Linked DNA regions of Mytilus edulis. Each later gene encodes a partner of the first gene's protein in a complex. Links are inferred from orthologs where the notes say so. Each region holds a gene or a part of one and is shown in the gene's direction. Other genes may lie near its edges.

Region 1 (8,002 bases):
CTGCTTGTTATCACTGAATGGTAAAGATTATTTAAATTTATCAGTTGGTAGTAAAAAGTGTATATACATTGTATATTGTATATAACAAAGATTTAAGTTGATTCTGGACAAAGAAAGATAACTCCAATTAAAAAAAATTCTTGCTATTGCACAAATAGGATATTTCTTGCTTACTATTCTGGACAAAGAAAGATAACTCTATTTAAAAAAAAAATTGCTATTTCACAATATTGTGCAATTAGATATTTCTTGCCATTGCACAATACTGTGCAATTGAAAAGACTTGCTATTGCACAATACTTAATATAATAATTTTAGATCCTGATTTGGACCAACTTGAAAACTGGGCCCATAATCAAAAATCTAAGTACATGTTTAGATTCAGCATATCAAAGAGGCCCAAGAATTCAATTTTTGTTAAAATCAAACTTAGTTTAATTTTGGACCCTTTGGACTTTAATGTAGAATTTGAAATTTGAAAACAGGACCAAAAATGAAGAATCTACATACACAGTTAGATTTGGCATATAAAAGAACCCCAAGGATTCAATTTTTGATGAAATCAAACAAAGTTTAATTTTGGACCCTTTGGACCTTAATGTAGACCAATTTGAAAACTGGACCAAAAAAACTTCAATAATCAAGAATCTAAGTACATTTTTAGATTCAACATATCAAAGAACCCAACCGATTCATTTTTTGTCAAAATCAAACTAAGTTTAATTTTGGACCCTTTGGACCTTAATGTAGACCAATTTGAAAACGGGACCAAAAGTTGAGAATCTACATATACAGTTAGATTCGGCATATCAAAGAACCCCAATTATTCAATTTTGATGAAATCAAACAAAGTTTAATTTTGGACCCTTTGGGCCCCTTTTTCCTAAACTGTTGGGACCAAAACTCCCAAAATCAATACCAACCTTCCTTTTATGGTCATAAGCCTTGTGTTTAAATTTCATAGATTTGTATTTACTTATACTAACATTATAGTGCGAAAACCAAGAAAAATGCTTATTTGGGTCCCTTTTTGGCCCCTAATTCCTAATCTGTTGGGTCCTAAACTCCCAAAATAAATACCAACCTTCCTTTTGTGGTCATAAACATTGTGTTTAAATTTCATAGATTTCCATTTACTTAACCTAAGGTTATTGTGCAAAAACCAAGAAAAATGCTTATTTGGGCCCTTTATTGGCCCCTTATTATTCCTAAACTATTGAAACCAAAACTCCCAAAATCAATCCCAATCTTTCTTTTGTGGTCATAAACCTTGTGTCAAAATTTCATAGATTTCTATTAACTTAAACTAAAGTTATGGTGCGAAAACCAAGAAAATGCTTATTTGGGCCCTTTTTGGCCCCTTATTCCTAAAATATTGGGACCAAAACTCCCAAAATCAATACCAACCTTCCTTTTATGGTCATAAACCTTGTGTTAAAATTTCATAGATTTCTATTCACTTTTACTAAAGTTAGAGTGCGAAAACTAAAAGTATTCGGACGCCGGACGACGACGACGACGACGACGACGACGACGACGACGACGACGCAGACGCCAACGTGATAGCAATATACGACGAAAATTTTTTCAAAATTTGCAGTCGTATAAAAACCATCAAAGCACAATGATCATAAATATGGGTACATCATCAAAAAGGAATATTGTTATAATGTTTGTAACTTACTTGCATATAACCATATACCAAATAAAAAACAAACACTGCAGCTGTAAGCAGGATGAATTGCATAGTTGGCGATTGTCCTGATATATCAAAAAATCCAATCTTAAGTTCTGTTGTTTTCTTATTTGAGGATTCTGGCATAGGAACTATAGCAGATTTTTGAGACATTTCGTACAATGCAGAGTTACTTCCCTTTTGTCTCAGTAGTCCAACAGATAGTGGTGTGACTCGAGGAGTCACTGATCTAAAACAAATATAGCAAAAGTTATGTATTTTTTTGTATGATCAATCCATTTAGTCAGTGAAAACAAAATCAGAGCGAGTATTTAATTTTGTTCATGAATTTTGTTTACATACATCTACTTTACAAATACAAGCTCTAATACAATAGGAATTTTCCAAACACTTAAACAGCCGACTCCTAGCTCTAGTTAAAAACATTGAATCATTTCTTTACATTACATGTATATATTTAAATTATAATAACTGAAATATCATTTTGAACATCATTGATTTTTTACCATCTGTTTCTATATGGATAAAAATCAATATATAATTACCATACAATTAATTTTACAAATGTCCACAAATTTAATGACTGTATATCTTTCAATTAATGATATCTAAAATGGTTGTACGCATGCTGGTAAAAGATAGAATTTTCTTGATTCAAATTATTAAAAATCTTGAATCTTAGCCAGTGAAAAAAAATGACCATGATAACCTGAAAAACTTCAATCATGCATCAACTGATGTGATTCAACTATGACACACATATACAAGCTCCTAGGTTTTTTTTTAAAGGTGAACTCTCTCAAACCTACAAGTCACAAAAAGAAGTCTGTCATAAGAAAAAGAAACTTTGTAAATAAAAACATATCTGAATAAGAAAACATTATTCAATACATGTACACAAAATCATTCACCAGGTTATACATCTGGTGACAAAACTTCAAATAGTGGTCACACTCACAGTCTTCACAATAAATATTTTAATCAGCAGGCTCGTATCTCAATTTTTTGAGAATTTAGTTAGATTTTGTTGGCCTGTAGAGATGATTTTTACATGCTTGAAAGAAATTTTACAAGCCTGGACTGCCTGGACTGCCAGGCCTGTAGTGATGTGTGAAGATTCCAGTGGATCATCCATACCTTAAAGAATCAGGACATATGGCCTATCAATGACACATGTAAGAACATTCACTAAAGTTATATTAAAAATCAATTGTTCACAGAACAATTGGTGGTCTTTCCACATCAATTTTTCTAAATTATCAATAAGAAGCTACTTCTAGTTAACTCAAAGTTACTATTGGCATCCAAGCATAAAGATTTATTCATACTGATTCAATAAATACATGAAATATATGTTTCTATATATTTTTGCATGAAACAAGGGAGATAATTATCAACTTCTGGTTAAATATGTCACTTCCAGTCTCATAAGATAGCTTTATTCACACGGATTCCCAAAATATATAGTTTCTATATACTTTTGCCTGTAATAAGGGAGATATAAGGTACTGGTTTATTGAAGGTCACTTCTGATCTCAAATATTAGGTTTTTGTATGCTTATCTAAAAAAAAAGTTTTAAGGTACTTTTCAAAGGAATAAGTGCACAAATAGCTACTTACAATTTACTCAAGGTTACCTCCAGGTGATACTTTTCAAGGTTATATGTCACCCAACAGATTGTTAAAGACCGTATGGCTTTATCATGTACCAAGTTAGAGTAATAATCAATTCATCTTAAATTTAATAATTTCAGGGACAATAACTCATATAAGATGTCATTGGATTGTTTCAGACCAAATGAATCATATCTACATCACAATCAGGCCAACATTTTTCAATAGTTCTTGTATCTATATCTTAAAAGTGAGAGAGGAGATCATAAAACAAGGAAAAGTAAAAATTTAAAATATAACCTTGACCTCAATTTCATTTTTGTGCACAAGTGACCCAAAATCAATATTATAATACTAGAACACACCCGCGAAATCGCGGGCATATACAGCTTGTAAACTGTTGTAGGATGAATTTTTGTAAAATTTATTATGGTTGGAGAATTTCATATAAGGTATCAAAAGCCCTCTATCTTTTTTTCCAAAATCTGTTATGTGTTTCCTTTCTGTTAAATTCAATAATTTTCGTGTTTCTGGCATTATACCACAATTATTCTTCACCTTTGCTACAATGCATTTTTTTTTTTATAAAAGTCAAATTAAATTAAAAATTTGCACCGCTTCAAACATGAAATAAATGAAACTGCTTATAGATCATGCATTATTATTCTAATAAAATATGCTTGTAGGACAATCCATCAATGCTTTTCCTTTTGAGAGCCCTATTAACATGCCAATGGTAGGATTTGGATCTCATATAAATGACTAAGGCTCATTTGAGGGGTGGTCTGAGGGGCCCTGATCCCGAAGTCCCGGGCTTTTAAAAAAATGAAATCCTGAGGTGCGTATTTTAACGAAATTCATAAGCTGACATCCCGAAATTAAAAAAAAATAATATTCCAGAGTTTAAAAACACCCGATCCAAACGTCCAGAATAAGTCCAGCCTCCCTCTAATCTCTACCCTACTTTCATTTTGGCCAAATTACTACTTTCACTTTCAACAATAAACTTTTATGCCCCATTTATGGGAATTATGTTTTCATGTTCGTTGTCCGTCCGTCCTTCTGTCCCGCTTCAGGTTAAAGTTTTCACTTTCAACAATAAATTTTTATGCCCCATTTATGGGAATTATGTTTTCTAGTCCGTTTGTTAGTCCGTTTGTTCATCCGCTTGTTCGTTCGTCCGTCCGATCGTCTGTCCCGCTTCAGGTTAAAGTTTTTGTCGAGGTAATTTTTTATGAAGTTGAAGTCAAACCAACTCGAAACTTAGTAAAGATGTTCCCTATGATATGATCTTTCTAATTTTAATGCCAAATTAGAGATTTTACCGCATTTCATGGTCCACTAAACATAGTAAAGGATATTTTTTTAACAAATATTTAAATTACAAAAAAAATAATTTAAACAAACTTCGTCCCCATTCACAGGTAATGCCTGCCTCATATTCAGTTTAAAGCCTATGGTTGTGCCATTAGCCCTGCTATATATGGTCTTGTTCTTCTTTTTTTTAGATAGTCTAAGAATGGGGTGTTGGTTTGCAGGGCAAAGACAATCTATATAATATAAAATTACATCATTTTTGGTTGTCAAATGGAAGTTTTTAACGACCTTGACTGTCAAATATTCATTTCCACTTAAATAGTTAAGGTATGCACATTGCCAACCACTAGTCGGTGTTTCGTGGGCCAGCGAAACGTCAAAATATGACCGGAAGTGTGAAGTACGTCATCAAATATTGCGGAAAATTTCAAGATGGCAGCCTCCATCGGATTTAACTTTCTGGGATCTGTGGGAAAATTTACAGTAATTCCATCACTTTTAGATAACTTTTTCAAATTTTAAATTGAGCTTGAATTAAACCAACAAGACACTTATTTTTACATGTTCATTTAAATGAAAATTTGACAACAACAATTTCTTCAAACAATCCTACATATTTTTTTGGGAAACAAGACGTTTCGGCCATTGTCATTGAGCCGGTTCGGTCTTGGTCGTTTCGGCCATGTAATAAACGTAGTATAGACTAAAAGTTATACAAACATTGGTTCTATTTGTTTGTTTCTCTTTTATGTTGTCAGCAAATAGGAATTTGAGTGTTTTATCACTTATTTTTTAGAACATGAAAAATGGTGTATAAATAATTTTTCAGTAATACATAAATTTTTCTTGTTAAAATCTAAAACATTGTTACATACACGAGCGAATCATACAAGTTGAGATATATAAACTCCGTAAGATGGTGACAAGGGAATGTCACCATCTAAAAATGGATAATTAACGATAGGAAATGAGAAATCATCTCTTTTATCATAAATTTTAGTATTAAGCTTTTCATTAATGATATAGATATCAAGATCGAGGATTTTCGGTTTTAAAAGCTCTTCAGAGCTTATGTTTGTAATTGCTTGCTTATACCAACTCTAAATAAAGCTTTATGTCTTATGTCTTATGGCAGTGGTCATTGCTAGTATTAGCTTTATTAAGTAAGTTCAACAGGATAAATTTCTTTAGTATACATACTGAAGTCGTCATTATTGAGAGCCAAAATATCATCCAAATATCTAAAAGTATTATTAAATTTGTGTATCAGATGTTGTTTCGATGGGTCTTTGCTGATTTTTGTCATAAATTGTGACTCATAGCAATACAAAAACAGGTCCCCATTGGATTTACGATAACCTGACGATATAGGGAATCTCCAAAGAGATCTAATAAATCTAATAAAAATTGAAGGGCAGATATAATATCAAAGCATGTCCAATTGACATAGTTTTTTTTGTTTATTGCTACTAAAAAATGACCTAAAAGAGTGAACATATATAGTCACATTCTGACTTTTTAAATGTCCATTTAATTAGGGGTGTGAATTTTTTCATAATGAGAATGTGAGGCAATGTGGTATATAGGGTAGAAAAATCAAAACTTTGAACAGATTCAAAATCACCAATATAAGCATGCAATTTATCAAGTACTTCCAACGAGTTTTTGACACTCCAAAAGTAATTTATTCCACTATTTTCGAAGGCCTTATTTGAACAATTTATTATCAGGTTTTTGATTGTACCAAGTGTACTGGTAAGAAGAATAGATAATTAAATAGTGGAACAATGGCTTGTAGACGAATTAAATTTATATTTGTAAGGTGTTTTGTGTAGCTTCGGAAGCCAATACATAGTTGGGACTTTCATTGATTGTAAAGGGGTAGCTAAAAGTTAATGTTTGTTACAGATATTGTTTTCTGAAAATGGAGTCAGTTGGAATGTTGGTGAATTGGTAGTAGGTTACATCCAAAATAAAAGTAGCAGTCTTGTTTTCATATACATGCACATGTATGACTGTTGATTTTTTTTAAACTAAAAAACTTACTTATTATTTCAGAGTGCTTTGAGAGAATCTCTGTTGCAAAAGTCTAATGTGGAGTGCATTACAGTATACAAATCATACAATGGAAGGTGGGTATTAAAGAGACAGAAAAGAGTATATTGCTTATTTATTTGCTAAATCCATGTCCCAAAGAAAATAACATATTTATATAAATACGGTTAGTAGTATAACTAAGTATATATCCAGTATCATGAATATCTCTTTTACATGTATATGTTCCAGACCATATGTGTTTTTGGACCATCACATGAAATGCATGACAAACAGTTTGTTGCATCAAAGTCATACTATGGGAATGCTTCACTCGTTATGGCTCATTAATTCAAACAAACTTGACTACAAACCAAAATACTGTAACTTCTAAAACTATTAACTACTTTTCAGTTACACCCTGTGTATGCAGTTGTAATAAAATTTTCATTTTGATTTTCTCCTTTTTTGATGACAACTCAAAAGGGGCATACCTGAGGAAATATACAGTATCAAATGTTAATTTTACAACATTCATTGTGTTAATTAACCAGACCATATGTATATTGTTAGACCAAATGAGTACACAAATACCAGATCATGCATATGTATATAATTATTGTTAGACCAAATGAGTACACAAATACCAGATCATGCATATGTATATTGTCAGACCAAATGAGTACACAAATACCAGATCATGCATATGTATATTGTCAGACCAAATGAGTACACAAATACCAGATCATGCATATGTATATTGTCAGACCAAATGAGTACACAAATACCAGATCATGCATATGTATATTGTCTGACCCAATGAGTACACAAATACCAGATCATGCATATGTATATTGTCAGACCCAATGAGTACACAAATACCAGATCATGCATATGTATATTGTCAGACCCAATGAGTACACAAATACCAGATCATGCATATGTATATTGTCAGACCCAATGAGTACACAAATACCAGATCATGCATATGTATATTGTCAGACCAAATGAGTACACAAATACCAGATCATGCATATGTATATTGTCAGACCAAATGAGTACACAAATACCAGATCATGCATATGTATATTGTCAGACCAAATGAGTACACAAATACCAGATCATGCATATGTATATTGTCTGACCAAATGAGTACACAAATACCAGATCATGCATATGTATATTGTCTGACCAAATGAGTACACAAATACCAGATCATGCATATGTATATTGTCTGACCAAATGAGTTCACAAATACCAGATCATGCATATGTATATTGTCTGACCAAATGAGTACACAAATACCAGATCATGCATATGTATATTGTCTGACCAAATGAG
Region 2 (7,841 bases), on another chromosome or scaffold:
ATGACAGAAATCTATGAATTTAATTATTTTAATTCACAATCCTCAAAATTTGATCGTTTGAAAATTTATTTTTCAGAAATGAAAAAAAAAAGTTCTTGGGTCGGGGGGTTTTAACTAGGGTTGGTCGGGTTACTGGAACCACACATATATTTTTATTTGGCCTCAGCAAGGTAAGAATTTTCTGATATATAAGAAATAGAGCAAAGAGAAAGACAGGAAATTAAAAATGAAAACTTTAAAATTGAGAATGAAAATAATTGACCAAATGGTATAATAATCAACCAAAGAATATTTAGTCAACATCTAGAATATTGACAGCTTATAAAGTCACTGTAAATTATTTGTACCTTGTTTCCCTAATTTGTTGTCTCATTTTTTCATCTCTCATTCCTTCTAATTTGTGTTTCTCCATTTCCTGAGCCAATCTTTCTTCTTGTAACATTTGTTCTTCTCTGATCAATCTATCTCTCTGTGCCTAAAATGTGTATGTAAATAAAATACAGTATATTCCTTTATTTTCTTGGTTACCAATTTTGCGTTCTGATGATTAATCAATGGATATGAAACAATGTCAGTAAATCAAAATATTTCCTTTTCAAGACTTAAAAACTTTTTATTCTATAACTTTAAAATATAAAATAAATTAAACATGTTTTTGTTCATACATTTTTTGTAACAATACATATTAAAGGTGTAAAAAAATTGAAACTGGAAGTGAACGTCCTGTATGAGCCCATGGGCCAATACAGCTTTTTTTGCCCTGTTCCTAAAGCAATATTAACTCTTGATTTATATCAACGGTGGAATGTTTTCAGGATTGCGCAGACTGATTTGCTCATATCATTCAATAATCTGTGGTTCCAATGTAGTATGTGCTTTGTTTAATTTTTACCACTAGCCATGGTCTGCCCTATATTTTAGACTTAGTAGCTTTTACCAGTTGCATTGACATTTCAATAAAATATACATTGTGTATGTGCATAAAGTAATTTTATATTACTTTTTTTGTTGTTATGAATAATGTCTGTGAGTTAAAAAGATCGTGCGATCAAAACCCTTTCAACAGGTTACTAAATAATTGTTTTCAAATGTAGTTTTTTTTGTAGGAAACATGTAAATGTAATGAAAGTTATTCTTATGAAAAGGTATTACAACTAAGTTTAGCACAAACCTTGAGAATTGTGTCCTCCATATCTCTCTCTTTCTGCTCCATCATCATTCGTCTGATGTAACGTTTCTCTGAGAGTTTTTCTTCATTACTCATATTTGCCTCCAACAACTTCTGGGTGCCCAACTGACGGATGGTGTCTTCCCGTACTTCTTCATGCCTACGGTAGTTCTGTAACTGCCGTTCCCTCTCAGAAGCAGTCAGTCTCCGAACAGTTGTCTGAAATATGAACAATTGATTTTTAATAAAAAAAAAATATGAAGATTTATCATAGCATTACACTAACATGACTAAGGAGTTCAGGCTCAATTTATTTTTCATATTACATTAGAAAACAAAAAATATTGCATCGTATAAGTTCTATTCTGTTTCAAAGTGATGCAATTTTTCCTTTAAAAATGCCTTGTACCAAGTCAGGAATATGGCCATTGTTATATTATAGTTCGTTTCTGTGTGTATTACATTATAACGTTGTGTCGTTTGTTTTCTCTTATCTTTGTGTGTAAATTCACATTGCGATAAGACGTGTCACGGTACTTGTCTATCCCAAATTCATGTATTTGGTTTTGATGTTATATATATATATGCAGTGATTTTGCTAGCGCTCGTCACTTTCGTATTTTACGAAAGGGTTTTCTCATTGACGAAAGTATTTCAAATCAATTTCGTCACTTTAATTTTGAAAGTGTAAAAAAAAATTCGCAATAAAAACTATAAATCTACCTGTCTTCATGTTTTTGACAAGTTTATGACCTCCAGGTAATTAACATTTTCAACAGGTGTGATTACAACTAATCCGCTCAGATGGGTCACTTATCCGTAATTTATTAATTAACCCCATAATTGAATGACCATCATAATTATTTCCCCAGGAAAATCAGTCAGTCGGCATTTCAACAACCAGGAGTATAATTTCGTCATTTAATCAAAAATGTAACAATGCCGGACAGTTCGCATTTGAATTTCAATATTTCCCAAACGATCACAATCTGAAGTTAGTTTATCGTAGATTCGTCATTCGAAGGCATTTTCGTCATATTTGATTTAAATTTTCATCAAAAACTTTCAACAATTTCCATTTAAAATAAAGAACTTTCATGTGTTTATTCAAAAAGTTCACGAGAAATGTTTTAAACAGGTGCTTCCTGTATTGTGTTCTACGCATGCGTGAAAGTATCCTTTTGACTATATAGACATTAAAAACGTAAAATACGAAATCATTTAGAATCAATTAAACGAGAGAGACAAATATATATCTCTTACTAAAGGAATTTAAATCGAAAAATAATAATTTCCTGATGAATCCGGACTCGTTTTGAATTTATTATCCACGTGTCACTTCCCGTTTTCGTTTCATTTTAAAACCGAAAGTAGTAAACGTGATCTATTGTTGATTTGTTTACAACCTCCTTTCAGTCATTATAATCGTTCCAAAAAGGATATAATACATTTCCATCTTGATAGAAATGATATCCAAATATCGACTAAGATGTTTTATAAGGATAATGATTATGCAGTGAAATAATCATTGCAAATTGATTTCTGCTGTGATTCCTTGTTTAAAAAAAATAGAATCCAACTTTTGTTGTTCAGGAATGACCCCTGGAATAAACTGAAGAGAAATTGTGATTCCATGTCAGAATCTTTCATAATAATAGCCAATACAGTCAAATCATACAATAACTGCCAATCATGCTGGTGCCTCAATCCCTTAAAATCTGACTAAGTCAAAAGATGAAGCTAGTACTATACATCATTGTTCTATTGCTTATACACAAAATAAGGTTGATTTTAATAGCGCGCAAAAGTGACTAAAGCCCTCAAAATCCTAGCTTAAACCCTGTATATATGTTATATTTGTTATTCTCGTGGGATTTTGTCTATGTGTGTTACATTTTAGTGTTATGTCGTTGTTCTCCTCTTATATTTAATGTGTTTCCCTCGGTTTTAGTTTGTTACCCCGATTTTGTTTTTTGTCCATGGATTTATGAGTTTTGAACAGCAGTATACTACTGTTGCCTTTATTTACACTGTTAAACTTTTAAATCTGTAATGCACATGTACATGTATATGGTTACAATTATGTCTTAAAAACATTCTTTGTTAGAAACAGGACTTTTTAATTATTTCAATTCAAAGAAAAAAAACATCGCTATGAAATAAATCAAACTTTATGATTCAGATTGCCTCTTTTTTTTTTACACTAATGGCGCCATATGTATCTAGATCACAAACCATAAAACATAAACTTTTTTGACTGAAAGGTGTAAATACAGCACTGGTGTGAATACCAATCATAACAATTCAAACCATTTATACAGCAAAGGAATGATAAAAATGTGCCTTGCAACACGATTATAGCATATGCATGTATATTGAACATTTATAAATCCTTCGCATAGCTAATTCTAACGGAAACTTGACTGAGCAAACATTTGTAATAGACCAGAATTGTATCTTTATTTGTGATCCCCAACAGTAGAACTATTCTTGTCATTCAGTGTTGTGAAGTCTGCTTACTATATGTACAGTAAAGGCTAGTGCGCCGCTCAATTGTAACGTCAGTATAGTTGTTGTACGTCATTTAGATTTCAATACATCATGTACATTATCAAACTAGCAAGACGTTTATTTTTTTACTTCATGCCATTGTACAAAATTTAGACACTACACACAATATACAGTAACAACGACATGGTCACAGATGTTCACATAAAATTTCATAGGAAAATATTGGACAGCACAAACATGACAAAGACAAAGTAAATTCAGTGTCCTGTAATGGCGAACAAAAAGTGATAAGTTGAATTTTATTCATGACAGGTCTGACAAACTGTACATGTGTTGCCAAATATGCAACAAAAGAATAAAATCATCGTTAGGCAACGTTGGACCTTGCACTTTTATAATGTATGCATTGTCTACCTCAGTTTGAATAAGTCATGATTTTTAAACTGGATATTATTGTGGATAGTACACATAGCTCTAACCATAAACCTAACCCGGAGCTAAAATATCCCATAACCTAACCATAACCATGAATGAACCTTCACTTATTGGCCTAAAACTCTAAAGTATAATGGTATATGGACCCTTTTTGAGTGGCATTCTTTCAACTTTGACTTTATCTTTGGTAGTAAATAATGAATTTGAAAGTGCCAGCAATTTGAAATGTAAAGGATACGATGTAAGTCTATATTTCTAATGTCAAATTTATTCAATTATTGCTCGGACTTCTTCAAAACTCTTACCATTTTGTTGGAATGTTCAAAGTTCTTCAAGAGCTGCACACTGAATGTTGTTGAGCCTAGAAACAACCGTTGCTATGGGTAAGTTAGATTGGTGTGACACAATATTTTGATATATTTTTTGCGATTAAATCGAATCAAAATAACACAATTTATTGATATTTTGACGAATACAAATTTAAATGTTATTATCTATCTCAGAAATTATTAGTTTTTGAAAAATTCAAACAATTCTAATGAGAACATTTAAAAACACCCCTATGGTATTTTGTTGATTCGTCTATTCTCTTCGGTATCACAGTTTACCAAAATTTTGAGTTTTAAAATTTTATATTTCATTTTCCTGTTTAAAAAAACATATTTTAGTAAGAACATAAATAGTCTAATAAAACAATTTCACATTTTTTTTATCATTATTTAGAGCCGAATAGTTCTAATATTTTATGAACTTCCGGTATCGGGTTGTTGACGTTTTATGTTTTGCAGATTCAGAATCATCATCCAAATTCATCGAAGTCAATTCGAAACTTTAGCAGATTTTAACAAAAAATTATGTATCCTTATCTACAAATTCATATTTTGGTTCATGTTTTACAGATTACAAAGTTGATCATGACTAAGAAAATCAAATAAGCCGACTCCGATGGCAAAAGTTGTCGGTGCAAGTTGTCAACCCTATCGAATTACGATAGGGCTTTAAACGGTCTCCCTTTTCTCCACAAAGGGTTATAACTACTCCCAATTGTTTGAAGTTGATCAACCCATAAGAGATACATTGGCAATAAAACATTTATCGTGCAGAAATAGGGTATCGGGATTGTTCGCCCTAATAACATGTTCGCCCTGGGTACGTTCGCCCTGGGTTCGTTCGCCCAGAGAGTCCGTTCGCCCTACTAAAAAATATTGATATTCAGAGCATTGAAGTTGAAAAAACTTATTCAGATATTTCTATGGTATATATTCTTGAAATTTATGGAAACAGGGAAATATTTAAAAGTTTATGGCTTGTATAGGATCATTAATTGTTCAATGACAAAATAATTCGGATCACTGATTATTGTGATACTTGTCTTTTGATGGATTATTAATAAAAATCAAACGTTTTGTTTTGATAAAATATTCAGCTTGAAATTAATAAACACAATGATGTACTAACTGTAAATCATGAAACGGATTTACAAGTTCATTATTATACTCGGAGACAGTCCTAGTCTCAGTTATACTGCATACATTCATGATTGACTGAATACAATTATTTTGTTAACAAATATCAATAAAGAGAAATACATCATGTATACCAATTCTACTCTGTAAATCAAAGAGAAAATGATAAAATGATTGCGGCAATATAAATATTCTGTCAATTTGTTAACAAACTTTAACATATTTTGTTCAAATACTTAAAATTATGCGACTGGACAACAAATAGAAAAAAATAAAAATCTGGGCGAATGGACCCTGGGCGAACAGGTATCAGGGCGAACGGACCCGGATTCCAGAAATAGATACATAGATTGATTGAATAATAAACAGTAATGGATTTGGGGTTTCCAGCACACATTTTATATTCCCAAGGCAAAAAACTGAGTAGTGTTATGAAAGAAAAGCCTAGCCTATGCTGTCATAAAACTTTCTAGAACTTGGACTCAAAAATCAACCAATCTAAATACTGGTTTTAGTCAAATTAGTGTTTTGTTCACAAATTTTTAGTCCGAGATTACTCTGACGTCCAACGGCTGTTTTGCCAGACAAGCTTGGGCCGTGCAACGTCAGAGCTCGTCCCATATCAAAAAGTGGGTATTTGCCCACCCAAAATAGATGCGCTGCTTCGTCGCTTCTGATGCCAACTGACGGCCTTGGAATTATATAAATTGGGCATCAATCTATTCATTTAAGAACCAGAATGAAAAAAAAACATGTATGGCAGGTCTACGACTAGCGTCAAATATACAAACACATAATTTTTTTGTATTTTTGCCTGAAACAAGTATGAATTAAATATGTTTTACTTCTAGTCATTTCTAATTTCCTTAACAGTTTATTCAGATAATTAAAGAAAGATGGCGGTTCCAGCTAAGATTGTTCTGAAGAGTACCACTAAGATGTCTTTGAATGATAGGTGAGAAGGAGGAGGAGCATGTTCCTGGCAGAGATTGCCTGGAAAAGTTGGAAGGAAAGAAATTTAGAGAGAATTTTTTCTCTCTATCAGTCATTTCTCTAATGACCAAAGGTCATTTCTATTGACCAAAGGTCATTTCTATTGACCAGAAGTCTTCTCTGTGGCTAGATGCCTTCTTTCAAGGCTAGTGCAAAAGAGAATGACAACAAAAAGCTATGCAAGCCAAAATGAAAAAATGCCACTGCACAAATGTGCAATTGGGCTCAAAACCTGATTTTGCCACTTAATATGTTAAATGAATCAGATTGCATGCTTGCATGCTAGTCTAACAATACACATGTTTTACATGTATGGTTAAAGTAACTAGTTATATCCTGTTGGCCACAGGTGAAAAAGGACAACAACTAGTGTCAAAGAGGCTGAAATTTGACAAGTGGCAGAAATTTGACAAGTGGCAGAAATTTGACAAGTGGCAAAACAGACAGAGTTGCAATACATGGCAAAAAGTCTTGAGAAAAGCAATAGTAAACCACAAGCACCGAGCAGTGCCATTGGATCATGTGGATAGCAAAATAACAAAAATCCAGTTACTATATTGAACTTTTCTATGCATGAATGTACAAGACTAGATTTTCTAGATTTGAAAAAGCTTCACTTTAGATATTTTCTTGCATGTTTTTTTGCTAAAAGTTAATGTCGTATATTAAAGTAATAATGGTTAGAAAAATCCGATTTCCTATTTTAAACTCATATATATAAAGTATAGTCGAAAGCAATAATCAAATGACTTTTCCTGAAATTCAGTTTGAATTTGTTTTTCTTATGTTTAATTAAGGTAGCACAATACAAAGATTTGTTCACTCCCAATCGGATAACTTTAAACTGATGTAATTCATTTAATCCTTCTTTATATATTATAAATGAGGTACCAAAAGAAAGAAGAAAGATTCATCTTTCAAATGGTGATAATTTCATTATGACATAATTATTACATAATTAATTATTATGTAATAAGTTGCTATATTGTGATGTCCACGCTTGAATGAATTTAGCGTCTTTGTTCTTCATAGCATCCCAAATTATTTAACAGATTCTGTTACAACACAGCTTGACCTCCAAAACTGTGTCTCAGATTTCCAAAAACATCAATAGAACAAATTTTATACCCAGTTGAATTTAGTGGTCTCTTATGAATTATTGTTGCAAATTTCATTGTAGATTTATGAGAGAATGAAATACAATAGGAAAAATCTGAGACACAGTTTTGGAGGTCAAACTGTGTTGTTCAAGAATCTATAAAATATTT

Evidence for each region. Proteins that work in one complex are often made in the same cells at the same time.
Region 2: THO complex subunit 1-like (region 1) and chromatin target of PRMT1 protein-like share a complex: the UniProt entries of both Homo sapiens proteins name them as parts of the transcription/export (TREX) complex. The link is inferred for Mytilus edulis from reciprocal best matches to the Homo sapiens genes THOC1 and CHTOP.

What each region holds. Positions count from the first base shown.
Region 1 is NC_092344.1:105,009,068-105,017,069, forward strand, and holds the start of THO complex subunit 1-like, read left to right. Parts: upstream 1-4,985; 5' UTR 4,986-5,059; coding exon 5,060-5,110; intron 5,111-6,685; coding exon 6,686-6,759; intron 6,760-8,002. Other genes in the region: adenosine 3'-phospho 5'-phosphosulfate transporter 2-like, read right to left, coding at 1,685-1,925, 4,880-4,884. UniProt on the Homo sapiens protein: Component of the THO subcomplex of the TREX complex which is thought to couple mRNA transcription, processing and nuclear export, and which specifically associates with spliced mRNA and not with unspliced pre-mRNA.
Region 2 is NC_092354.1:21,885,720-21,893,560, forward strand, and holds the start of chromatin target of PRMT1 protein-like, read left to right. Parts: upstream 1-4,831; 5' UTR 4,832-4,970; intron 4,971-6,462; 5' UTR 6,463-6,476; coding exon 6,477-6,535; intron 6,536-7,841. Other genes in the region: meiosis-specific nuclear structural protein 1-like, read right to left, coding at 348-475, 1,172-1,387, 4,420-4,422. UniProt on the Homo sapiens protein: Plays an important role in the ligand-dependent activation of estrogen receptor target genes. May play a role in the silencing of fetal globin genes.